Oryctolagus cuniculus: one gene and its partners. The protein of the gene in region 1 interacts with the protein of each later gene in a pairwise test. Links are inferred from orthologs where the notes say so. Each region holds a gene or a part of one and is shown in the gene's direction. Other genes may lie near its edges.

Region 1 (3,500 bases):
ATGAGCTCCTTAGTAAAAATGTTATAAAGTAGAACTATGGGATCATACAAGATAATTATCTTTAAGCTGTTTTTATATTTAACATTAAATGGGCCTCCAAAATGTATACCATTTTTATCCTAAAAAATGTAGGTATTATTTAATATAGGTATTAAAAGCTTCTATATGATTATTATGTGTAATCTAAATGTCATCTCATTGTTTTTAATAGTTCTTTGATTTATCATGTAGTTGGACTTTTTAATATGTTTTTTGACCACTTGTTTACATATTTTGTGATTTAACTCTTTTCATTTCGTCTGCACTCCTGTTACCAATTTCCTTTCTGCTCCTTCCTAGACACCTTAAACTCCGGTGTGCCTAACTGCAGTTTTGACCCTTTCCAGTCCATCCACTTCAGCTGTGGTACCCTTCTTAGAACATGAATATATCATAAACATGTCACTTCTCTACTTAATCTCCAGTGGCTCCACTGCTTTTAGGATAAAATGCAAAGTTTGCCGTTTGCACTACAAGGCCCTTATGACTTTGTCTCGTTCTCCAGCCTCCAGCCAAGAAAGGACACACACACACACACACACACACACACACACTCACACACTCACACAGTCTTTGCTTGGTTAACTCCTACTCATTGTGTAGGTTATTGCTTAACATTAACTTCCTCTTGGATTTCCCTTAGCTCCCAAGTCCCTGCCGGCTGACTCTTGGGTATGCTCTACTCCCTCTACAGCAGCATTTACATTGCCTGTTTAATGTCTGTGAACTGTGAGCGCTGTGAGGGCAAGGGCTATGAAGGCAAGCACCACAACAAATTGGTTCTCCCTGTTTATTTCCAGTTCCTAGCACAAGGCCTATCTTATTAGTTGTCCTAAATAAATATTGAATGAATAGAGGGATAGATGGATGGATGGTTGGATGGATGGATGGATGAAAAAAAAGATTAGGGAGGTCTGGAAGAAATTTTATGAGCCAACTTTCTGGCTTGACTATTTCCCTAAAGAGGTCATTCATTGTCTCCTTACTTGCCAAATCCTAGAAGACTGGCTATTCAAAATGAGGCCTGAAGATTATACTGAGATTGTCTTTCACTTATTTATATTGGCTTGCAGTTTATTCCTGAAACATCTCTATTTTCAGAAGTAGCCAAGAGATATTGTTTGTAGATGTGTGGCAGGGTTTACATACTTGATCACATGTATTTTTCAACTCTTCATCCTCACAACTAGGTTACCAGGAAAGTTCCCTCTCTAGTCTTCCTCATTCAGTGCTTCTTCCTTCCATTCTAACTTGCATATTGTCGCCAAGTTGATCTTTCTTTTCATCCTATTATTTGAATTCTCAGGGATCTTCACTGACTGATTCAGAAGATGTGGCATAGGACTTAAACACGTATATTTTAGTAAAAGCTCTTCCAGATAATTTTGATATGTAACCATGTTGAGGAATGGCTGAACTATGTAAAATACATCTCATTTTTTTAAAAAAAGGAGCAGTGTAATTGATTGAATATATAGAGTTTAGAATTAGATGGACATGGTTTCAATTATATTTCTTATCCTTAATAGTTTTGTGATCTTGGGAAATTTATTTAGCCTTTTAATGTGTCTACTTTTTCATTTGCAAAAATGGAAATAATGTCTAATATACAGGGTTGTGGTAAGGGGTAAAATAGATAATGTGTGGCCGGCGCTGTGGCATAGCAGGTAAAGCCACCATCTGCAGTGCCAGCATCCCATATGGGCACCGGTTCGCATCCCGGCCACTCACTTACAATCCAGCTCTCTGCTAATGCTCCTGGGGAAACAATAGAAGATGGCCCAAGTGCTTGGGCCCCTGTACCCACGTGTGGGACCCAGAAGAGGCTTCTGGCTTCAGATTGGCTCAGCTCCAGCTGTTGTGGCCATCTGGGGAGTAAACCTGCAGATGGAAGACCTCTCTCTGCCTCTGACTCTCTTTTAACTCTGCCTTTTAAATAAAGAAATAAATCTTTTAAAAAAAGTAGATAATTATGTAAAGTGCATCCACAGTACCTTGTATATACTAAACACTCATTAAATGATAGAAGTTATGTTGTTATTGGTAGTCATGCAGTTATTCATTCAACATTTACTTATTCACTATATGTTCAATACTGTGTTAGGGATCATGGAAGACATAAGACATAGGAAATACGACCATTGCTCTTGAGACTCTTAGAATTAGTTGGAGGAGAGAAAATTATGATAGCATTGTACAGTTAAAGAATAATAAAATGAAATATATATATATATATATAAAATGAGTGATCAAATCAAGGATAGTATTTAGAGGAAGGTGTTAATCCAGCATGCTAGCTCATTGATTAGCATAAAAAATAGAGAGGGAGAAAAAAATCACTCAAACTGGGAGAAAAAAACATTCAAACTGCTCTTCCCAAGCCTTCAGAGGTCTAGTTTTGATGCTGCCTGCCAGATGGAAAATGATGCAGAGGGGAAAAAATCCTGTATTTACTTCTTAAAATTAAGACAGGATGGAGGGGTGTGTTTGAGGGGTGAACATATGTGAACAAATATGGTATAATTCTTAATTGGTTCCTTACGGTTAAAATCTAGATTGTTCCATTAGAAAAGCACAAATATGATATTTTCACTTAGTGAATCAAGTCTTGCAAGTCATTTCTTTTCACCTTGTTAAACTAGAAATCAAACACAGGATGAAGGTGCAAACTTATTTTGATGTATATTGATGTATTCTTTTTTTTCTTTTTCAGGGTTGCTATGGCAACTGCATCTTCTCAAGTTCTGATTCCAGACATCAATTTTAATGATGCCTTTGAAAACTTTGCTTTAGATTTTTCCAGAGAAAAGAAACTGCTGGAGGGGCTAGACTATTTAACAGGTGTGAAAATACTATGCTTTCCTTCCTATTTTGCTTATTTCTTTTTGGTGTACTTTTACTTTGAAATAACATGAAATGGATAATATTTATAATAAAATGTTCTTATAATCTTTAAGATGATATAATTACCATTTTAGATAGAGTACATTTTAGTTCATGTATCAGAAGAAAACGATGAGTCATCCACTATTTCTAGGATTAGAAAGATTATACTATTCATACTTAAGAGTAAGCCACAGAAATTGCTGATGAATTTCTCCATATGAGTCTATCAGTAATGTGCCATTCTTGCTCTAAGAGGGCAGTCAGGTGACAGTGAGGGACTATTACAGAATGCCCCACATGGTATAGGTACTACCTATAGGGTTTTAAGGAAACTTAGAAATTAGCTTAGAAAAAAAAAAGGTAAGAAATATCTGCCTTGAAGACAATGTTGGGAAATGAAGGATGCAACTAGTCTGTTTACAAAAAAGGTGACTACCTTCAGAATTACATAATGATCACTTACTGAGGAAAACTACACATAATAATTTTATGTTTGTAGCTATTTTATTAATTTATTAACATAGTTATCCTATATGAAACACCTAGTTTATGCCAGACACTGTTATATTAATTTT
Region 2 (3,500 bases), on another chromosome or scaffold:
GCTGGAAATTGGGAGCTCAGCCCAGGTCTCCCATGTGGGTAGCAGAGACCCAAGTATTTGAATCATCATCTGCTACCTTCCAGAGTGTGCATTGGCAGGAAGCTGAAATCAGAAGCAGAGTCAGTCTCAAACCTCAACACTCAGGTGTGGGACACTGGCATCTTATCTACAAAGCCAACCGCCCATTCCTATTCATACATCCAAATGTACTTACACTGGTATCTCTAGATGATCTAAATAATTCTGGAATTTATAAAAAATAAATATACAAATATAAGACAAAATATAATGAAATTTAAAGTGGCAGTATTTTATAGATTAAGGAATATGTTAAGGGTGATGAAAGAAGCAGCATTGAAGTCAGCCTTGGAGAATAAAAGGGATTGATGGAGTGAGATAATGGGAAATGCAGTACAAGGTGAACTTCTCTGATCTGATAATCCCAGATCCACAATGCTCCCAAGTCCAGAACTTTGAGTACTGACATGCCCTAACTGGAAAATCCCTCATGTGACAGGTCACAGTCAAAATGCAGGTGCACTAAAAGCACTGTATAAAACTTACCTTCAGGCTGTGTAGATGAGATATATATGAAACAAATCCTGCGTTTAACTTGAGTCTCATTGCCAAGATACCTTATGTATGTATTCAAGTATGTATATTCCAGGACTGGCACTATGGCGTAGCAGGTAAAAAGCAGCCACCTGCAATGCCGGTGTCCCATATGGGCATCCCATATGTTGCAGTCATCTGGGGAATGGACCAGCAGATGGAAGACCTCTCTCTCTCTCTCGCTCTCTCACGATCTCTCTCTCTCTCTCTCTCTCTCTGTTGCTTTCTCTCTTTGCCTCTTTGTAACTCTGCCTTTCAAATAAATAAATACATCATTTTTAAAATAAAAAATATTTTTAAAAGTATGTATATTCTGAAAAAAAATTCTGAAATGCGAAACATTTGGTCCTCAGCATTTTTAAAACATTTTTTTCAAAAATTTATTTATTTATTTGAAAGAGTTAGAGAGAGAGAGAGAGATCTTCCATCCACTGGTTTAACTCCCCAGATGGCTGTAACAGCTGGACCTGCACCAATCCAAAACTGGGATTGATGAGCTTCTTCCAGGTTTCCCACATGGGTGCAGGGGCCCAAGAACTTGGGCCACCCTCTAGTGCTTTCCCAGGCCACAGCAGAGAGCTGGATCAATAGTGAAGCAGCTGGGACTCTAATCGGATTGCATATGGAATGCCAAAGCACCAGCTCCAGGTCCCCAGCATTTTGGATAAAGGTTCTCAACCTGTAAAACCTGAGGAAACTGTTGGTTTTTCCAGAGACCCAGACGTGAAAGTACAGTAGTGGGATCATAGTAAGAGTTAAAGTTGAAAATGTAGAGGTGAGCATTTGCCATAGTGGTTAAGATGCCACTTGGGATGCCTGCATCCCCTGTTAGAATGCTAACTCAACTTTTGACTCCAGCTTCCTACTAATGTGGACCCTAGGAGGCACCAGGTGATAGCTCAAATACTTGGGTCCCTGTTACCCATGCAGGAGACCTAGATTGAGTTCCTGGCTCGTGGTTGTTAAGTGCATTTGGAAAGTGAACCAGCAGTTAGAAGGTCTGTCCCTGCCCCCAACTTTTGTGTGCCTTTCAACTGAATGAATGAAAGAAAACATGACTTAGAGTGAGACTGTGGCAGCCCTTCAGTGCCATGTTAAAAAACTGAACTTTTATTCTGTATGTAGTTGGGAACTATTGAAGGTTTCTGAGATGAGTAGACACAGGATCAGAGCTGTACTTCTAGATGGTAACTAATAGCAGTGAGACTTTTAGAGTTTTATCACATGTTGATTCATGTAAGCATTATAACAATCAAGATACAAAACTCTCCCACTGCTGTAAGGTTCCTTTATACAATCCCTGTATACAACATGTCCCCCTTCCTGACCCTGGCAGTCACTAATCTGTTCACCATCTCTATCATTTTGTTATTTCAAGAATGTTAGATAAATGCAATTATACAGTATATAAGCTTTTAGGCTTGGCTTTTTTCCCATGAGATCATCCAAGTTGTTACATGTATCTGTATATTCCTTTTATTTCTGCATGGTAGTCCATGTTACAGATTTTACCATTTACCTTTCTGGTTCTTACAAACAAAACTGCTGTGAAATTTTATATGGATTTTTGTGTTAACTAAGTTTTCATTTCTTTGGGATAAATGGCCAAAGGTACAGTTAGTTGTTGGGTCATGTGATAAGGAAATGTTTAGTTTTATAAGAAATTGCCAAACTGTCCTCCAGAACTCTTCCAATGCTGTACCATCTTGTGTTCCCAGCGACAGTGTATGAGTGATCCAGGTTGTCTGCATCCTTACCAACACTTGGTGTCATCACTGTTTTCTGTTTTGGGTCTTCTCATAGTTATGCAGTGATATTACATTAGATGTTTTTGAAGTTTATTTTCATCTACTAGAAAGACTGAGAGGGAAAGAGGGGGTGTGGGGAGAGAGAGAGAGAGACAGAAAGAGAGACAGAGACAGACAGACAGACAGACAGAGAGATCTTCCATCCAGTTGTTCACCAAATGCCCACAACAGCCAGGGTCTTCAGGGCTAAAGCCAGAGTTCAGAACTCTACCTGGGTCTCCCATACAGGGTGGCAGGAACCAAGCACTTGATCCATCATCTACAGCCTCCCAAGCTGCATTGGCAGGGAGCTGCCTCAGAATTGGAGGAACCAGGACTCAATCAGCACTCCAAAAATAGAAGCAGGCATTCCAATCAGCAGCTTAAACCACTTTGCTACAATACCCCACCTCTGCATTGTGATTTAACATGTTTTCCCTAAAAGGTATCTTTTCGTGTTCATTTTTCCACCTCTGTGTCTTCTTCAGTGAAATGTTTGCATTTCTTTTGCCCATTTTCAAATTGCACAGTTTGTTGACTGTTGAGTTTTGAGAGTTTGTCGTATCATAAATATCTTTTAAAATAATTTTGTTTACTTTTTCCCCTGTCAATCTTTAGACAAATAAATGTTTGAAGAGAGGGCCACCTCAGCCAGTTTATTCAAAGTGTGGAGCACTGCCTTTTGAGACTGAAAGGGTAAGAGGAAAACATGAAGATAATTGTTCAAAAAAATGCCTGCTTTATTGTAAGTACTATTTAAATAGCACCATTCATTTAAAATTCTCAGCTATTTCTTTTTCCCTTAAGTCTGCCAGTGCAGGCAGTTCTGTGAATGCAAGTATGCAAAACCTTCTGCAAACAACGCGACGATCTGGGCCACGGATCCTACAGAAACCTTCTGAAGTCACTGAGCATAGGTGTTTGTGCAGGCCTACTAGAAAAACCTCATGGTGTAAAGCTGTCCCTTCTGACTCAGAAAAGTCTGATTCCTTTTGTGACAATTTGTCTGAACTTTTGATGGCAATGCAAGATGAGCTGGACCAAATGAGTGTGTAAGTATTTTTATTCTCTGTCAGGAGAACCAGTAAGTGATTTAGATGC
Region 3 (3,032 bases), on another chromosome or scaffold:
GGGCATGGGTGGGGTGAGGCCCTGGAAGGGCTGGCAGGGCAGTGACCCCTAGCCCCCACTCCCCGGCCGCAGTTCGAAGAGATCCACGAGGTGATCGCGCGCTACAAGACGCTGGTGAGCATGCACCACGACCTCTTGCAGTCGGCGCAGGAGGGCCAGGAGAGCATAGAGCGCGCCAAGGCGCGGCTGGCGCGCTACATGGAGGAGAAGGACGACGAGATCCTGCAACACAACAACGACCTGGCGCGGCTGCAGATGCGCTTCGACCGCGCGCGCAGCGACGTCATTATCTGGGTGAGCCGGCCCGGCCCGGCCCGGCCCGGGGGCGGCAGAGGGGCTGGCTTCGGGCGGGCGGTGCCGCTGAGCGCCTCCGGTCCCGCCCACCCGTATGGCTTCCGCAGGAGTCTCGCTGGGCACACATCCAGAACACCGCCGCCAAGAAGACCCTCTTGCTTGGCACCATTAAGATGGCCACGCTGAACCTCTTCCAGATCGTGAGCAAGCAGCTGAAGGACACGGCCCACGTGTCCCTGGAGGACACGCACAAACAGCTGGACATGGTAGGGGGACGCGCAGGCACGGGCCACGCTATGCAAAAACTGCTTTGCATCCTCTTAAACGTACCTTTTCTTTCCATTTTTCCTGAGAACATTATGAAGTGCCCTCATATGTAATTTTGTTTAAGATTTACTTATTTGGAAGGCAGAGTGCCAGAGAGTGAGAAAGGGCTGGGCCAGGCCAAAGCCGGGAGCCAGGATCGCTGTGCAGGTCTGCCACGTGGGTGCATTAGCAGGAAGCCAGGTCGGAAGTGGAGGAGCCAGGATTCCAGCCCCGACTCTGGTGCAGGATACCGGCATCCAGCGCAGTGCAGCGGCCTAACCTGCTGAGCCACAGGGCCCACCCCAGCACAGGGAACCTGGTAGCTCTGTGTCCTCCAGTGCCTACAACAAGGCTGGGCGCAGGGTTGGCAAATGAATATGAAGCACAATTAATAAAACTGACCCACTGAGAAGCATTCCCCCTAATTTTAGTGACACTCAGGGAATATAAAGGATGGGAAGGAAAACTCCTGGAACAAGTGCTAGGGAACACTTAGGGCACTCACAAGAAAGACCCCACCACAGGAAGTGCATTGGATGGTTGGGATTGCATGTAGGGAATTCAGAGCAGATGGAATAAGCAGAGATGGGGTAGTTCAGCAGACTAGCACAGCAGGTAGGAACTGCTGGCTGAGGGGTGCACCTGTGACAGCAGTTCCTTCTAGCTGAGGGTGACTGTTACCATGTGGGTGCAGTGGAGCAGCGGGCTGCGCAGCCAAGGATGTCCACTTCAACATGGACTGCAAGCCAAGAATCTCACTTGTAAGTGCAGTGTTTCCTCAGTTTCGGTGAGTTTTCTATGGTACAAGAGGTTTTCCCAGGAGGGTTATTTGCATTTTGGGCGGAGCTGGGGAGCTGATATCCCCTTCAGCTTAGGGGACCCGGCCAAGTGCCCTGGGATGGCCTTCCACAGTTTGTTCTGGAAGTAGTGATTCTCAGGATCCCTTCGCACTCTCACAATTTGCGGATGGAAGATCTCTCCATGTCTTTCCCTCTCTGTAACTCTGCCTCCCCAATAAATAAACCTTTTTAAAAAATAGAGAAAAACAAAGTTTATCCACACTCCAGAGAGCTTTTCTTCCTACAGGTTAGGAACATAAAACCTTTAAATATGTGTTTAATTCATTTTAAAATGAAGATAACAAACATGTTAATATAAATGGCATTTTTTGTTGTTGTTAAAAAGTTTTGGCCGGTGCCACGGCTCAATAGGCTAATCCTCCGCCTAGTGGCGCTGGCACACCAGGTTCTAGTCCCGGTCGGGGTGCCGGCTTCTGTCCCGGTTGCCCCTCTTCCAGGCCAGCTCTCTGCTGTGGCCAGGGAGTGCAGTGGAGGATGGCCCAAGTCCTTGGGCCCTGCACCCCATGGGAGACCAGGAGAAGCACCTGCCTTCGGATCAGCGTGGTGCACCTGCCACAGCACGCCGGCCGTGGCGGCCATTGGAGGGTGAACCAACGGCAAAGGAAGACCTTTCTCTCTGTCTCTCTCTCTCTCACTGTCCACTCTGCCTGTCAAAAAAAAAAAAAAGTTTTGAAAACTATTTTGTGCAAAGGATGACATGGTGGACACTGTGGCATGTCCCTCTAGCGTCTTTGTAGAGGACAGGGAGGCTCTCATGCAGGCTTCTGTGCCGTGCTGTTGTGACAGCACGTGTCACCCACCCTGGTGCATGCCACTGGTGTGCGCCTGAGACAGGAAGAGCAAAACATGTAAGTGACGCTTCAGTGTTCTCATGAGAAAAGTTTGGGCGTCACAGACCAGAACTCCTGGAGGATTCCCTGGGGTCCCTGGGTTACCTCCCTGTAGCTGTCCCCTCCCCCATCTCCCTGTCTCCTGTAACTTCCAGTCCTCCCTCCTCCTCCCCCCTGCCCCCACTCCAAATCTTGAGCTTTCTGCATCCTTCTCAGCCCTGATTTGCCTCTACAGGAATATTTCATTTTGCCTCAAGGTTATCTTAAAATGTGCCACTTCATTCCCATCAGCTATGAACCAGCTAGATCCGGTTGTCTGAAAAAATCGAAAGTTAAAAACCTGGGAAAGAAAAGTTTATGTTAAGCCGGCACTGTGCCACAGCAGTTAAGCCATTGTCTGCAGCATCGGCATCCCATATGGGCGCTGGTTCGAGTCCCGGCTGCTCCACTTCCAGTCCAGCTCCCTGCTAATGGCCTGTGAAAGCAGCAGGAGGTGGCCCAAGTGCTTGGGCCTCTACACTCTCATGGGGGACCCAGATGAAGCTCCTGGCTCCTGGCTTGAGATTGGCCCAGCTCCAGCTATTGCGGCACTGAGGAGTGAACAAGCAGATGAAAGATTCTCTCTCTCTCTCTGTAACTCTGCCCTTCAATTAAATAAATTAATTTTTAAAAAGGATATGTTAAAATCAGAGGTCAAGATAAGGGAGGGAAAGGAAGACTGTGGGTTCCTGGACTCCAGGGG
Region 4 (4,142 bases), on another chromosome or scaffold:
GAAGAGGTCACTGGAACGCGTTACCTGGTTGTGTCCAGCAAAGAGTCAGGCAGCCCAGGGTTTGGATCCCCACCTCGCCACCTGTAGAAGCTGTGTGACCTTGGGCAGGTTCTCTGGTCACCTGTCCCTTTCCTCCTCTGTAGAATGAAGTAGCAATGTGAGAATCAGCACCTAGTTGCACTGTGCTAAACACTGAGGCTCCTGGAGGCCTAACAGGACCTATTAAGTACAGGTCCTGGGAGGGACTTGGTAAATGATAGGGGTGGTGGTTCCCATAATCCTGCATGCTTGATTCCCAGGCGGCTCTCAAGGGACTCGGGCTGAGTGCTGGTCCCAACACTCTGGCTCCAGGCCTGGGGCTCCGCAGCTCTGCCAATGAGGCTGCTGATCGGGATGCTGATTAAATTCCCTGATAGAGAAGCCCCAGCATTCTGGCCCAGGGCTCAAGGACCGGCAATATTTAGCACAATCTGCGTGGTTCTCTAATTAAGTTATTTTTCGAAACTGCCCTTTGCAAGGTCTCCTTCCTCACCTCTCTCTGGCCCCTTCTCGCTGGGTCCCTGCCAAAGGAGGGAAATAAAACCGAGTGGGGCGCCCTCCTCCCTCCCTTGGCCGCCGGGAGAGAAGGTGACTGGAGGCAGGCTGAGCCCGTGTTCCTTGCAGACAATGCAGCTGCACCAAGCCCTGGTCATTCCAGGTGGCTGCGGCCCCCACGCAGGGGGCTAACGTCCCCACCAACACTGGCCTGGGCCTTGTGTTTTGTTTTGGGGAGGCAGAGTTGGGCTCGCCACTAAGACCCATCCTTTATCCCGACAGCTCGCAAGTGCTCTGCTGGGAAGGGCGATTAAACAGCACTCCATGTATTTTTCCATTTTCCTATGTGCACCTGGTAAAAATAAAATAAAACAAAAGAGGCCCAGGATTGAACTGTCATTGTTTTCTTTTAAAAGGGGGAGCGGGCTCACGTGACTGCGAGTAACCGCTTCGGCCAAGCCGCTTGCCACTCCGGAGTTTGCTGCAGAGCCGCCCCCTCCCGGCGGGGACGCTGACGTCACGGAAAAGCCCGGTCGCGGGCCAGCGGCGCTCGCTATAAACCGCGGGGCCGCGGCGGCCGCAGGCGGCGGCTCGGACGGCGGCCACCGTGCAGCAGCAACGCGCTCGGCTGCCCGGATCCCCCTGCGGAGTGACGCGCGTGCGCGTGTGTGCGCATACCCACGCGGACCGCCGGCCCCGGCCGTGCCAAGTAAGGGGCGCGCTGCGTGAGGGGCTCCCGGGAGCCGCGGCCCCTAGCGGGCAGGGAGTGGGCGTGACCCCCGCGGGCGCAACTTTTCAAGTTGGGAAGGGAGCCCTTGGGGTGCTCAGTCGAGCTGTGGTTTTCTGTGGGAGTGGGCGGACGGGGCAGAAGGGGGCGCAGAGCCTCAGGTGCAGGGGTTGTCGCTTCTGTCCCCTTGATTGCCTCAGGGGGAGGCTCGCCGCCTCCTACAGTTCCGTACCGACAGAGGGTAGTCCTCAGGACACCTCCTGCTCTTGTCGTTTGGGTTAAAAATCGCCGGCCAGGTAGTGGGCGAGGTGTTGGGGCGCGGAGTTTGGGGGTGAGGCTGGGGAACAGAATGTTTGTCCAGTTCTTTCTCACTCGCACCGGCCGGATCTCGCTGATGGAAATGCAAGGGCTGCCATCGGTATGCACGGATTGCACAATTGTTTGCAGCCAAATAAACTTAGCAATTTGGATTCCGTTTTCCACGACCTTTTTGTACTCCATCTCTGGTGGCCGCGGAGTGTGCGGAGAGGCAGTCTTGCGAAGGGAAAGTTGTAGGAGGGGCTCTGGCCTTCTGATTGGCTTCCAGATGTCTGAGTCGAAGAACCCTGCGGGAGGGATGTGGTTTGCTCAGAGCGAGGTGCCTCCTCTGCCAGTGGATAGGTCTGGACGTGAGCAGGTCATTCCCCAACGTGGGTGAGGAGCCCGGGGTGGGGTGAGGGGAGGTGACTGTAACCCTCCAGAATCCCCCTGCCCCCCGCTAACGGTCTGTCCAGGCAGCTGGAGAGCATCAGGGCGTCTTGACTAAACATGGAAGTTCCCATAAGTGCCTGTCCAGTCGCACGGTGGGGGGGTGGTAGGGGGTAGGGGGTTGGGGGTTGGGGAGAGTGATGTCATGGCCACGTGTTTCCCACCGAGGCACAAACGCCCGCTGTCCGCTGGTGCAGTAAGAGCCTTGTTTAGACAAGAGCACCCAACCTGGCCAGCTGGTCTCCAGCAACATTAACTTGTTGCTTTTCAAGCCTTCTTGGGAGGTTGTCGGCTCTCTCTGGTTGCCTCTGAGCCAGCTCTGAGTGGGGATCACAGGAGTCCCCAAGGATGGAGGAAACCCACGGGCAATGGGCCATGTTAATGGTACTTTTTAATCTGTGCAAATGGTGTGGGGTGTGTGTCCCGGCGAGGGCCTGGCTGCTTGGGGTTTGGGGACTGTTTCACTGGTGCACTGATGTTAGGATACTTGGTCGTCACCACGTCACTGACGACCGCCCCTGACTCTCGCTCATGCTTGCTAATGCTGGCTTCTTGGCTGCTCTGCTCCCTAGGACCCGACGATGACTCTGAACAATGTCACCTTGCGCCAGAGCACCGTGGGCATGCAGCCCCAGCAGCAGCGCTGGAGCATCCCGGCTGACGGCAGGCATCTGATGATCCAGAAAGAGCCCCACCAGTACAGCCACCGCCACCGCCCCGCTGCCGCCCCGGACGACCACTGCCGCCGGAGCTGGTCCTCCGACTCCACGGACTCCGTCATCTCCTCGGAGTCGGGGAACACCTACTACCGGGTGGTGCTCATCGGGGGGCAGGGAGTGGGCAAGTCCACTCTGGCCAACATCTTTGCGGGCGTGCATGACAGCATGGACAGCGACTGCGAGGTGCTGGGAGGTAGGTAGTGCACCTCGGTGGGCTTCCATCCATCAAGCGGTGGTCCAGGCTGAAAGAGCAAGAGTGGTGGGTTGTTGGAGAGCTGAGCTGCGGCTGTGCATTCTTCACGCTGGGTGAGGGAGCTGGGTGCCCAGAAAAGCCTTGGTCCAGCTTGGCACAAGAAAATGGAACTGCTCCAAGACAGGTCCCATATCTGCTGAACCTGGGCCAGCAGGGAGTGTCTTAGATTCCAGGTCTGAAGGGGTGGTGGGTGGGTGGGGGGGTGGGCTGATGAAGAGGGCAGAGAGTAGGGGTCTGGATCCCACTTCTGGCTTAGGCGACTCTGACCTAGAGCTTATTACCTGAGTTTGGGATAGATGCTGCCTTTCCCTGGGTTATACCAGGGAACCCAGCATTTGAAAAACTGCAAGAATTCACTAGTTTCCATCAATATTAGAGCCGTTCAAGGGTACAGATAAAGAGTTCAATATATATATGTGTGTGTATATATATATATATATTTGAAATGGTATAAGAATTTGTTACAAATTTAAAGTACACAATGTTGATACATATTTTCTATAGAGCCTTACAGCTTTTCAAGACAAGATTTCTCATGTAATCTCATTTAAAATGTTTAGAGAAGGCCTGCTTATTTCCTATACTGATCACGAGCACACGTATTCCTCTGTGGCAGGTCAGCCACAGTCCTGTGTTCGGGGAAGTGATAGGCAGATCCGCATGACCAGTGGTATCCATACAGTGTCATTCAGCCACGGCTTCAGTCTTAGCATGTGTGGCCAGGGTAATTGGCTGCTGTGGAAATAAAGGAAGAACTGTCCAGTGCTTGCCCAACTCACGTGTTCTGTCCATACTCTCAGCTGCGACTCAGCCTGAATCACAGACCTGCCGAGTGGGAAGGTACCTTAGTGATGACTCAGTTCCCGCCCCCTCTGTGTGATGCACACAAAGCCTACTCCTCACTACCGGCAGCCGCTTCATCCAAGGGATTTATTCTTCTTGACGGTGGCAGGGTCGGGGAGGCCACGGCTGCCCGAGGCAGCTCAGGAACTGGGCTATTAATGATGACTCATGGACGTTAACATTGATTTCCCTCCTCCCTTCCGAAATCTCAGGGACTACAGCTTAGCAAGAGGCAAGGGGACGTTGTAGCATTGATCTTCTCTTCATAGGGGCTGGAGGGTGACTCTCGCTGGAAGAGAGGAAGGAACCAATGCCGGGG
Region 5 (3,500 bases), on another chromosome or scaffold:
GGAATTGGAAGCTAGCGCTTGGAGCTCTGGTATGGTTTGGTCAGCTGTGTAGCTCCCTGTCTCTGCCACCACTACCCATCAAGGTGTGAAACATGTCCAGCACCAGATAGGCAAGTCCCTGCGCCCTTCTACAGCCACAGTCGCTTCCTTCTATGCTCCCCCACCTCATTCATAACTCCTAGAAACCACTAATGTCTCCATTTCTATAGTTTTATCATTTCAAAATGTTAAATAAAATTTTACAGTATATAATCTTTTGAGATTGACTTTTTTTCATATAGCATAATTGCTTGGGGATTTATTCATATAGTTTTACCAATGACTAGTTTGTTTTTCTGTACTTGCTGAGGTCATCCTATTTTGAGATTAGCAAATTTTGCTACAACGCAAAAATTTCCAAACTCATTTCCCACAAAATATTCTCTAGGATTCTAAAAATAAAATTTTTTTCTCATGTTCAAATAAATTTGTAAAACTCTGGGTTCAACAAAGTGGACAGAGTTCTTATGGGACTTGCCAGAATTATTAGTCTACAGTATACATTGTGAACCCAGAGTTATCTGAGTGTGGAGTTCCTTTTTTTCTAGAAAGAATTTTTACTCTTCCTCAGATTATATTTTGCAAAACATCTTGGGGAGCACCAATGGAGCAAAGAGCTTATATTTGAAGTCAGAAACCATGAATTCTTTAGATTCTTGCCCTCGACTCCATTCCTTCCTGTGTAAACTGTTTTTTGAAAATTGTTTATTTGAAAGGCAAAGAGACAGCACTCCAATCCACTGGTTTACTCCCCAAATGCCTGCAATAGCCTAGCTGGGCCAAGGTCAAAGCTGAGATCCGGGGACTCTATCTATGTCTCACAGGGGTGGTAGGAGCCCAGTTACTTGAACCATCACTGCTCTCTCTCAGGGTCTGCAATAGCAGGAAGCCTGACCAGGTACTCCTTTATGGGGTACAGATGTCTTAACCAGTATCTTAACTGGAAGGCTAGTTACCTGCCCCTATGTAAACTTTGTCTGGATCATACAAGTTTGTGAGAACCTCAGCTTTTCCTGAACTATATTGTGAGTATTATGGTATCCACCTTGCAGGGTTGTAAGGGTTGAGTGAGATATGTATAAATCATGAAAGTTCTTGATAAGGTATGTGAGTTTAAGGTCTTGTAATTCATTTCTAACTTAGCTCTTGGTGTCTCTCTCTCTTTCTCTCCCTCCTAGTGGCCCATCCTGGGCCAGCTTGTCTTTTCATCCAAGTTTCAGAAGTTGGAAACATTTAAACCCCCAAAGGATATTGACCTGAAGTCACTGCATCTCCAGAAGCCCCTGGAATCCACCTGGCCCAAGACCAACAGCCAGTTCCTAACCGGCCCCCAAAAATCAAGTAGTGTTTTCACCCCCCTCCAGAAAGAGCTCTTCTTAATTATGAATTCTTACCGGGACCTGTTCTACCCAGAAAGGTCTGCCTTGAAGAATGGAGAGGAGATCCGCCACGTGTACTGCCTGCACGTGCTGAATCACGTCCTCAAAGCCAACGCCCAGGTGCTTGGCAACAACAGCAGACGCCGAAGCCAGAAATTTGGGGTGGGTGATGACGATGACTTCAGGGACCAGGGGCTAACGAGGCCCAAGGTGAGTGGCAGCAGGAAAGCTGCTCCTGCAGGAAAGGGGTTGCAAGGCCCTGCTGTGTAGGTGCCTGGCACTAAGCAGGTGCTCCAGTGTTTTACGAATTGACTGGAATGATGAACCCAGATGTGAGTACTTTGGAGTGGGCCAAGTTACTGTCAGAACAGTGCAGCAGACTGCCCAGTGGGCTGTTTCTGACAGTGGAGCTAGCTGGACACTTGAGAAAAGTAGTTCGTGCTCTCCTAAAAGGTAAACACAGATAGGTGGCAGCCGTCTGCTGTAAATCTCTTCTTTGCGGTTGTCAGTGTTGAATGGGACGGTAATGAGCTCTTTATCCCTGTGTATCACAGCTGTGAGTAGAGACCCAAATTCAAAGACAACCTTGCTAAAGAGAACCAAAAAGTAGCAGAGAAGGGACCAGAACTGAGAATTTTCTTTGCTGAGACATGAAAATAGCAATCCCTGTTTGCCACTCTGTTGCTGTTTAAGTAGGGATTACACAAGTTGAAACTCCAGTGGATTTAAGTCTTTAATAGGAAAGAAAATGACTTTTGTTCTGTCTACATTTTGTATAACCTTGCAAAGCTAGGTCTTGTCATTCCAATCTCCTTCAGCTTGATCTTTCCATGAAGTCTTTTTTTTTTTTTTTTTTTTGACAGGCAGAGTGGACAGTGAGAGAGAGAGACAGAGAGAAAGGTCTTCCTTTGCCGTTGGTTCACCCTCCAATGGCCGCTGCGGCCGGTGCCCTGCGGCTGGCGCACCGCGCTGATCCGATGGCAGGAGCCAGGTACTTATCCTGGTCTCCCATGGGGTGCAGGGCCCAAGCACTTGGGCCATCCTCCACTGCACTCCCTGGCCACAGCAGAGAGCTGGCCTGGAAGAGGGGAAACCGGGACAGAATCCGGCGCCCCGACTGGGACTAGAACCCGGTGTGCCGGCACCACAAGGCGGAGGATTAGCCTAGTGAGCCGCGGCGCCAGCTCCCAAGAAGTCTTATATTTGTAGATTCTTCATTCAAGTTTAATAGAATTCTAGAATTTTTATACTGAAGTGGCTGTTAAGAGATTTGTTCTCCCATTGTGTGATAGCTGTGGAAACCAAGGCCCAGACACTTCTTTAGTGTCTCAGCTGGGACAGTAACTCTGTCTTTTAAATCTCTGTCTGCTGTCCCCATTATTTCAGGCTGAGTTTCTGCTCCAGTAAATGCTTATTGCCTTTCTGGGGAGCTGCCTCAGAGTCTTGAACTTCAGTATCACACGTTTGTTTCCACTTAGAATTGTGTAGAGAACTAAACAGATTACCTATGAAGCACATTTTAGTTTGGTGAATTGCATGATTTGACGGGGCTTGTGTTCACTGATTATGTTATTTACGAGAGAGTGGTTGAAATGAACCATTTATCAAGCATCTTCTGTTTTTGTTCTCAACGGTCATTTTTAAGCATTTTTGGAAATGCTTGGAAGACCGAGTCCTGTTTTTCCTGTTGATTATGATTTTATTTCAGAAATGCCTTACTGTTGTTTCTGAAAAATGCATTGGGGAATGTAGTAGGAAAATAGCACCGTGTTCATCCTTTTTCTTACCTGTTTTATTTCTCATTTATTCCATTTATTTACTGAGCATATACTTACTCCAGTGGGTCTTGTGGGTAAGAATATTGTGCAAAGTTCTGTGGGAGACAAACAAGTTAGCACTCCTTGCCCTCAAAGAGTTTGTGTGTTTACATTCTTGAGATTTTGCTGTCAGACTTGTCTGTTCTAGGCTTTTGCTTATCCTAAAGGCATTTCCATATTCTACTTGAGAAATTTTTCCCACCGAGCTGTGGGGCCAGAGTGCTCAGGACGTGGTTCTGTGGAGACAGAAGTTGCTCAGCTTCTA
Region 6 (4,089 bases), on another chromosome or scaffold:
CCCCACTTCTCGCTCACCCTCCATTCCGGGCCGGTCCCCCTTGCGCCCAGAAAACCTCAGGCGCGAATTCCACCGAGAGACACAAACCCGGTCCCTTTCATCTCTCTCCAGAAGCCTGGGACAGGGCAGCTCCAGCAGGGTTGTGGGCCCACGGCCTGGCGGCTTTGATCTTGTATTCTGTCTGCAACCGCGGCCACGCCGAGGAGATGCTGGGGTTCCTAGCACCAGGGCGGAGGCCGAGGTGACCTCTCATGGGCTTCCAGAAAAGGGGGCCCGGCCCCTCGCCCACAGGCCTGTGGGTGGGGCTACTGCTGCTCCTGGGTCCGGGGTCCCGTGCTCGGCCCACCTCTCTCTCAGGTACTGCGCTTCCCGGGCGTTTTGCGGGCTGCTGGGGGCGGAGGGGAGGAGAAGGGAGCCTGCTTTTCTGGCGTGGGCAGGCCCCTCCCGCTGGCCTCCAGCCCCCGTGCCTCTCTCCTCAGCTTTGGCCCACCACCCCCACTTGTGCCAGACCAGCCCGGACGCCGACGGCCGCCTCCACCGGGGTTTCTTCTGCCCTCGGCTCTCCGACGCCCCGGAGGAGGCCTACTGCTGCCACCTGCGGGCTGCCGAGGGCTCCTGCTGCACGCGGGCAGAATTCGAGGCCCTACACCGAGTCAACCTGTCCGCCCTTCCGCCCCCGCCCATCCTCAGGTGCGGACCCCAACCCGGAGCCACCGACCAGGGGTTCTAGGATCCGGGGCTCTGTTCCCAGGTTCCGGGGTGGAGTGGGGTGGCGAGTTTGCAGTTTGCGGATTAGCGCGGGGACAATGAGCGAAGTCCCGTCAATCATGACACACACTTCTGCAATGGAAAAGTGCCGGGGGCTGCGGGAAGTGGGCACCCACCCTGAGTCAAGGGGTGTGTCGTGAGGCAGAGGGGGTCGGGGCGGCTCAGAAGGGCCTGTCGCGCGTGGATTACACCCAGGATGCCAGTGTCCATCCAAATGTGTGCGCCAATGAGTACGTGAAGATCTACATTTCTCTGCTGCTAACACTCTCTCCTCTCCCATAGGGGCCCGGGCCCGCTCCTAGCGCTGGGCCTCTACAGCCTGCTGCTGGTGGCCCTAATGACCACAGACCTGGTGCACTTCTGCCGTGGCCGGAGCCCGCGCCGGGGCCGCCGCGCACCTCCCTCTAGGTCCTCGGCGGCTCGCCCCCTACGGGTCTCCGCGTGAACACGCAAGGCACGCCTGGGGCCCTCTCTGCGCCTGCGCACGGAGAGCCCCGCCCCGCCTGGGCAGCACGTCCTCTCCGTGGCTCCGCCCCTTCCCTGACACAGCGCTGGGCGGGGCCTCTCGCGACGGCTTCCGGAGCCTAGACACACCCCCGCCCCAGAGACTGCGGCTGCGCGGGGAAGGGACATCGGCTCTGCGATGACTGTGAGTGGTCCAGGCACCCCCACCCCGAGCCCCGGCCCGCCGTCCCGGGGTACGAGGCTCTTCCCGCACCTCCGCGCCCCTTCCCTGACCATACCCTGGCCACCGCCTCCCGCGTTCCTGGCTCTGCACGGCGCTCGCCCGCGGGCCGCGCTCCCCGCTCCCTCTCCCCCGAGCCCACCGCGACGCGGCCCGCCGCCCCCTCCCCACAGGCCAGCTCGGCGGAGCAGCTGCGGAAGCAGGGCAACGAGCTGTTCAAATGCGGAGACTACGAGGGCGCCCTGGCGGCCTACACCCAGGCCCTGGGTCTGGGCGCGACGCCGCAGGACCAGGCCGTCCTGCACCGGAACCTGGCCGCCTGCCACCTCAGGCTGGTGAGGAGCCCCAGCCTGGCCACCCCGCTTTGTCACATGTCTGGGGGGCCGCGGAATGGATGGGAGGGGCGTGGGTGACTGCCACGCGGCCGGTCCCCGGGAGGGGGGGACCCTCCGCTCAGGCACCTGCTCTCTCACAGGAGGACTATGACAAAGCCGAAGCCGAGGCATCGAAAGGTAGGCGAGCGCCGGCTCGTGACACGGGCGACAATCCTGGGGCCACTGCATCACCACCGCGTCTGCTGCTGTGACCCCCTAGCTCGCCTGCCTCCTCCCTTCGCACTTGCTGGGGCCTGCCCTTTTCACAGCTACCTGTACCTTGTCTGGGGCTGGAGTACCGAGCCCCACCTCTGTCTCCCACCCCCACCCCCACCCCTTCCTCTGGCCCTCCAGAGCTTTCTCTCCTGCTCTCGCCCGGACACGGTGGCCTCACGGGTGCTGACAAGCTCCTGTTTGTGCTCAGCCATCGAAAAGGACGGCGGGGACATCAAAGCGCTCTACCGGCGGAGCCAAGCCCTGGAGAAGCTGGGCCGCCTGGACCAGGCCGTGCTGGACCTGCAGAGATGCGTGAGCCTGGAGCCCAAGAACAGAATCTTCCAGGAGGCCCTGCGGAACATCGCGGGCCAGATCCAGGAGAAGGTATGGGGGATCCGGGCACCGAGCGGTGGTGCCGGGTGGTGGTGCGGGGGTAGGCACAGCTCCCTGGGTGTGGGCGCGCAGGATGGTGCCCGGCGAAGAGCAAACTACAGGTGCAGCCTGGTGCTGGTAGTTGTCACCGCTTAAGTGGTGAGATTGGGGGGCAGGGCTCGTGTGACTGCTGGCGGGGGTGGAAATTGGTACAACGTCTGGAAGTGTTAAATGCTCATAATCTGTAATCTACTATATTTACCCCCCCCTTTGGTACGTTTTATTTATTTATTTATTTATTTGAAAGGCAGAGTGACAGAGAAGGGGAGAGATGGAGAGAGAACGCTTCCATCTGCTGGTTCACGCCCTAAATGCCCGCAACAGCTGGGGTTGGGCCAGGCTGAAGCCAGGAGCCCCGAACTCCAGCCAGGTCTCCCACGGGAGTTCAGGGACCCTAGCACTTGGGCTGGCTGCCGCTGCCTCCCCAGGCGTGAGTGTTAGCAGGAAGCTGGATTGGAAGCAGACTAGACAAGACAGACCAGGCACTCTGATATGGATGTGGGTGTCTAAGCTGCAGCTTCACCTGCCCACCACAGACACCTACCCCAGTGTGTTCACTTCTTGCTGTTTTCCCTGGAGCAGGGGCGAGGGAACCTTTTGTCTGCCAAGGGCCGTTTGGATCTGTCCACCGTCATTATGGGCCATAGAAAATGATGGACTTAAAAAGCAGCCTGCTGTAGTTTGCGGAATTTTGAGTCTCTTCGGTGGTTGCCTTGGCCAGAACAAATGATTTCGCAGCCTTATATGGCTCAGACACTGAACGTTCCCCACCCCTGCCCTAGAGAGGCCTTGCCTGCGTGCACGAGTTTGTACGCGTGTGTTTATTGCAGCCTTGTTTCTAGTAAGGAAAACTTGGAACTCGCCTAAATGCCTGGCAGGAGGGGAATGGCTAAATACCAGGGTGATGTCGTCACTGCAGACTCCCGTGTTGTGGTTACTCAGAACAGGCGGATCGGAGGCAATGGGAGAGCCGGCCAATGAGGAAAGACTGCTCAGTAACACACAGTGTGTTAAAATGGTCCCCCACACCGAAAACTGCTTTACCCTGGGGGGTGGGCGTCCAAAGGAAAGGACGAGTATATCAAAATGGTAACACTGTGACCTCTGGGGAAGGAAGGGGAGTGAGTGGAGTCCCTGCGTCATCCCTTAACTGTTTTAAATTTGAGAGGCAGAGATGGGTTCCTGTCTGCTGGTTCACTCCCCAAGTGCCCACAACAGCCAGAGGTAGACCAGGCTGAAGTGGGAGTCTAGGTCCCCCACGTGGGTGGTGGTGAGCCAGTTATTTGAGTGGTTACCAGTGTCTGGCAGGAAGCTGGAATTGGGAGCGGAGCCAGGACTTGATAAGGGCCCAGGTGTACTGAGGACAAATGCCTGCCCGTCAGTATTTCTCAAAGAAGGAACGGTGTGTGGTACACGTGTTTCAAAGCTAGTGGAAACAGAATCTAACGATCGCCATGAGCTACCGCCAAGCCTGTGTCAAGCAGCTACTTTGGTGTTAAAGTGGGCGTTGGTGCTAGCAGTTAAGAGGCAGCTTGGATGCCTGCGTCCCGTATTGGAGTGCCTGGGTGCACACCCCAGCTCCACTCCTGTTTTTGGCTTCCTGCTAACGCGCAT
Region 7 (3,964 bases), on another chromosome or scaffold:
AAGAGAACCAAAGGAAGCGTGGAGCACCGAGGTTCTGAGGTGGGAGTGTGACAAGCATGCTGTGGGGATAGCTGTGGGGCAGTGTGGTTGCTTCAGAGTGAAGAGGAAGCAGAAAAGGAAGTTGCGGTATGTGGGGATGAAGGGTGTATTGTGAAGTGCTCCTGTAAAGACTCACCTTTACTCAAAGGATGAGCATAAGTTAGTAGAAAGTCCTAGGAGAGGGTTAACATTGTCTGAACTACATTTTGTGGTGATCATCCTCTCTGTAGCCATTGTATTCAGAGTAGATTTCAGCAGAGCAAGTACAAAACCAGGAAGATCAATTAGGAAACTATTTTGGTAATCTAGTAAGATGTGGAGCTTTCAATCTAGAAAGTCCCGGGATGTCTTTATGTATTCCTTATCACCGTGCCTTGTCAGCACATTCAATATGTGCTTGTGTGTCTTAAATGAAAACACACTAGGCTCACTGCACAAAGTGACAAATGAGGAAGGTATTTCTAGGAATAGGTTCTTAGCATTTATGTGTGATTAAAACCAGAAATACTTTGCTAATACTGGGTTTCTGGCACTTTGACTCAGTCCCATTTATACCTAAACACCACTTAGCTTAATAAAGAAACAGCAATGATTTGTATTTAACTTATTTTGACCTTGCAAAGAAGTACTAGACAAACCCAGGCAAAATTGTCAGGACACTCAATTGCTCCTCACTTACCAATTACCTAACATTTCAACCTAATTTTTTGGTGTACATTTCAAATAAAGCATCACACAGGGCACTGGAGAATGTATAAGACAAGCTTCTTTGCTCAATGTACAATCAAGTTGGATGGATAAAACTCACACCTCACAGGTAGCAAATCTGAGGTAATGCAATGCATATCTAGAGTTAAACTATTTAAGTTGGATCTTGAGGAATGAATCAGAAGTGGAAAATGGATAGGAAGTAAGAAAACACTGGTGAACCAGAATATGAGTTGCTGCTCTGGGACTTGCAATGAATTCTTCACCTTAAATTTAAAAATATTAACAACAAAAGGAGGAAGCTCATTGTAACACTATGTCTTTGAAAACACAGGTGGTTAGAAGCCAAGAAGAGACTAAATATAGAGATCCCTTATATAAAACACTAAGCAGTCAGCCATTCAAAAGTAGCCCTCCTACCTTCCCACTTCCCTCCCAGAGGAAGCCAGATGCACTCAGGAAGTTGCTAAAGACAAATCCTTCGTCCTAGTTCCTTTCTGCTCCTTCCACAGCAAGCCTGTCACCATTCAAGTTCCCAGAAGCTGTGCAGGAGGCCGAGCTCCCAGCCAGAAGTCCTCAGAGTTGGGGAGGACACCCGGGACCCGGACACTGGGCTGACAACAGGGATCAAGGAAGGCGAAACGAGAAATGTATGTGGATTGACTCCTCTCACTGCCCGTAGCCCTGGGCCTCCGGGAGCTGGGAATCCCGACGGCACCCTGCGGCGGACAAACTGTCGGCTACGTGGAGCGCCTACACCACCACCAGTCCTGGGTAAGTCGGGAGTCCGTCCGCCTCTGGGGGGTGACAGTCGCCAGGGGGTGTGGCTGCCGCGGTGGTCGCTTCAGCCGAGGAGGAATTCGTCGCTGTCCCTAAAGCAGTCTGATAAGTGGGACAGGGTCCGGTCCACCCTGTCGCCGGATCCTCACCGCGGCGGAGCCGGGGCTGGCTGGCGGGGAGCGAGCGAGGGGGTTATAGGGAGCCCCGGTTCTTCCTGGCAGCCCTGGCTGGGAGCGGGCTGTGTGCATCGGCTGTCGCCTGCCTCAAACCTGCTGTACCTAGGCTGCTGTCTCACCTGCTCCCTGCCAGCCCCAGGCCGAGCGCCACCTCCGAGAGAAGGAAGCCGGGGAGTTTCCTTCCCCGTGTTCTGGATGACCGGTCCTTGAACAGTTTGGAGTCAGACCCGCGTTGCTCCCCGCGGCCCCCTCGGCTCTGTGAATTCGGTCGGTCTTTTAAGATGCCGAGTCACTGGACCGCCGTGGTGAACGGTCAACCCGCGAGTCCTCTGCCTCTGATCGTCTGTGGCTTGTCGTGAAGCAGAGGAATTGTGTGTGATGGCAGGATCTGTGGCCTTGTGATTATTTCGGGAGGAACGACGGGTCTAATGCAAGCCTGCGGCTTAAATTTTGCCACTCTCTGATTATGTGAATTATGTATGTGGCTCTGGTGACTGTATCCATCCTTTCTGCTCTCCGTGCTTCCTGAGTTTCACGGAGCTGAATGAAAGTTTTCGGGGTTTTGACTATCGTGCGTGGGTAAACCCAGACAGATGCCGATTAAAAAAAAAAAAAAGGTTTGGGCAATGGGTATTGTCCTGTTACTGTATCGCAATAATGACAACAGCTGCAAGTGAGAGCTAGGAAGTTAGTTTCGTTTCTCCTTTCGTTCTGTTTATAACCATCTACTCTTCCGTGGAGATAATGAATGTAGTGCTAATGAGCACAGTTGTCTTTAAAGATATGGCAAATGTCCCCACACACTTTTTTCACAACAGAAAAAAACTGGATCTTCTTTGTATTCAAAGGGTTGTTCTTTTTTATCCCTCCTTATGACTTGTTTAGTTTGGAGTAGAAAGAATGTTCCTTCTACTCATAGTAATAACTCACACACAGCACATGCTGTTCTGCGGTTTTGTTAACTCATTTCATCTTCAGTATGAATATTATTCCCATTTTATGGACAAGAAAAAAAAATGAGTACCTCTGATGGTTGTATTTACCATTATATTGTTTGCAGAATTTTTAATAATAAATTCCATGTTAGAAGTTTTCTACTGATATTTACCAAAATTTTTTTGTGCTTATACTCAAATTATTTAGTATTTAAGTGTACTAGTAAGAATGGGTTCAGTTCTTTGAATGTAATAACATCTTACTCTTTGGCAAATATCAGTAAATAACATTACATTTATAAATAGTTACGATATGAAAAAATACATGCTTATTTTTATTTCCCTGCATTTTTATTTTTACATAGGGCAAGTGCCTCAGTTTCAGTCTGGGTGACCTTTAAGTGAAATTTGCTTGCCATCTTAGTTCATACACAGAAAACTGCAATCAACAAAATCAACAGGTCGAAGAAGAACGATGTTGTCCTTAAACAACCTACAGAATGTCATCTATAACCCGGTAACTGATTTCTGTAAACTCACTCTTTACTGCTGGGACGATTGATAGCAAATCCAACTGAACAGTAATGTCAGTATTCAGTGGCGAGGAGAAGGAGAAGGAGAAGTAAGGGTCTTGTCCAGTCCATGCTGGTCCAACAGCCCCTGAATGACTGTAGTTGCTGAAAATTTGTAATGAACATCTGGGCAATAAAAAGCTTGCTATAGTGCCAGGTGGTGGTGAGAGTCTTCAGCAGTATCTGGTCTCCACTTACCTGCAGCTGAATCATGAATTTGGACACTTGCTTTCTCAACAACCCCCCTAGGAAGTCATTGGCCAATATACAGGGTGAGAGGCCTCAAAGCAAGCGCCGATTAAAGTGCATGGACTCAGGCTTTTGTTGTTTATTTTGTAGCTGCAGTTGTTTTCCCCCTAAGTATGAACGTCATTGTGCAAGAATAAAGTGCAAAAACTGGATCAAGCAAAAGCTCGGTTTCAGAAGACCCTTCAGCAGTAGTAGGTTGAAAAAGGAAGTGTCACAGAATCTGAAGCCAGTGAAACACTTAAAATGCTTTTGTGGGGGTAGTTGTGGACTGACTTCCTGCAAAGATCGGAAAACAAAACCAAAAACAGGCTGATGCTAAGAGGGGCTGAGGTGTGTACTTGGCTCAAGCTGGATGGGTTATGGGTTATGCGTTCGCTTTTGCCCTTCACACACACAAGATGCTTTATTTCAATGTTATTTAAGAATAATCTTATAGATTAAAATCCCTGTATATATTATTTTAAAAAAGATTTATTTATTTGAAAGGCAGAGTTACAGAGAGGTG

What was found.
Region 2: the proteins of MID2 (region 1) and CEP57L1 interact in binary tests that used the Homo sapiens proteins (3 or more experiments, as listed by UniProt). The two-hybrid records come from large-scale screens. The link is inferred for Oryctolagus cuniculus from reciprocal best matches to the Homo sapiens genes MID2 and CEP57L1.
Region 3: the proteins of MID2 (region 1) and CCDC42 interact in binary tests that used the Homo sapiens proteins (3 or more experiments, as listed by UniProt). The two-hybrid records come from large-scale screens. The link is inferred for Oryctolagus cuniculus from reciprocal best matches to the Homo sapiens genes MID2 and CCDC42.
Region 4: the proteins of MID2 (region 1) and GEM interact in binary tests that used the Homo sapiens proteins (3 or more experiments, as listed by UniProt). The link is inferred for Oryctolagus cuniculus from reciprocal best matches to the Homo sapiens genes MID2 and GEM.
Region 5: the proteins of MID2 (region 1) and UTP25 interact in binary tests that used the Homo sapiens proteins (3 or more experiments, as listed by UniProt). The link is inferred for Oryctolagus cuniculus from reciprocal best matches to the Homo sapiens genes MID2 and UTP25.
Region 6: the proteins of MID2 (region 1) and UNC45A interact in binary tests that used the Homo sapiens proteins (3 or more experiments, as listed by UniProt). The two-hybrid records come from large-scale screens. The link is inferred for Oryctolagus cuniculus from reciprocal best matches to the Homo sapiens genes MID2 and UNC45A.
Region 7: the proteins of MID2 (region 1) and LGALS8 interact in binary tests that used the Homo sapiens proteins (3 or more experiments, as listed by UniProt). The two-hybrid records come from large-scale screens. The link is inferred for Oryctolagus cuniculus from reciprocal best matches to the Homo sapiens genes MID2 and LGALS8.

The regions. Positions count from the first base shown.
Region 1 is NC_091453.1:85,394,603-85,398,102, reverse strand, and holds part of MID2 (probable E3 ubiquitin-protein ligase MID2), read left to right. Parts: intron 1-2,752; coding exon 2,753-2,880; intron 2,881-3,500. UniProt on the Homo sapiens protein: E3 ubiquitin ligase that plays a role in microtubule stabilization. Mediates the 'Lys-48'-linked polyubiquitination of LRRK2 to drive its localization to microtubules and its proteasomal degradation in neurons.
Region 2 is NC_091436.1:62,255,630-62,259,129, reverse strand, and holds part of CEP57L1 (centrosomal protein CEP57L1), read left to right. Parts: intron 1-3,017; coding exon 3,018-3,095; intron 3,096-3,206; coding exon 3,207-3,451; intron 3,452-3,500. UniProt on the Homo sapiens protein: Centrosomal protein which may be required for microtubule attachment to centrosomes.
Region 3 is NC_091448.1:53,156,063-53,159,094, reverse strand, and holds part of CCDC42 (coiled-coil domain-containing protein 42), read left to right. Parts: intron 1-72; coding exon 73-294; intron 295-401; coding exon 402-560; intron 561-3,032. UniProt on the Homo sapiens protein: Essential for male fertility. Required for sperm development.
Region 4 is NC_091437.1:119,690,938-119,695,079, reverse strand, and holds the start of GEM (GTP-binding protein GEM), read left to right. Parts: upstream 1-1,342; 5' UTR 1,343-1,610; coding exon 1,611-1,679; intron 1,680-1,727; exon of another isoform or gene 1,728-1,954; intron 1,955-2,163; exon of another isoform or gene 2,164-2,356; coding exon of another isoform or gene 2,357-2,392; intron 2,393-2,580; coding exon 2,581-2,920; intron 2,921-4,142. UniProt on the Homo sapiens protein: Could be a regulatory protein, possibly participating in receptor-mediated signal transduction at the plasma membrane. Has guanine nucleotide-binding activity but undetectable intrinsic GTPase activity.
Region 5 is NC_091444.1:24,691,583-24,695,082, forward strand, and holds part of UTP25 (U3 small nucleolar RNA-associated protein 25 homolog), read left to right. Parts: intron 1-1,217; coding exon 1,218-1,628; intron 1,629-3,500. UniProt on the Homo sapiens protein: Component of the ribosomal small subunit processome for the biogenesis of ribosomes, functions in pre-ribosomal RNA (pre-rRNA) processing. Essential for embryonic development in part through the regulation of p53 pathway.
Region 6 is NC_091443.1:100,330,543-100,334,631, reverse strand, and holds the start of UNC45A (protein unc-45 homolog A), read left to right. Parts: upstream 1-1,289; 5' UTR 1,290-1,411; coding exon 1,412-1,417; intron 1,418-1,626; coding exon 1,627-1,788; intron 1,789-1,928; coding exon 1,929-1,965; intron 1,966-2,181; coding exon of another isoform or gene 2,182-2,251; coding exon 2,252-2,427; intron 2,428-4,089. Other genes in the region: protein shisa-like-1, read left to right, coding at 252-357, 480-690, 1,051-1,213.
Region 7 is NC_091444.1:61,238,307-61,242,270, reverse strand, and holds the start of LGALS8 (galectin-8), read left to right. Parts: upstream 1-1,164; 5' UTR 1,165-1,521; intron 1,522-3,003; 5' UTR 3,004-3,113; coding exon 3,114-3,155; intron 3,156-3,549; exon of another isoform or gene 3,550-3,771; coding exon of another isoform or gene 3,772-3,789; intron 3,790-3,964.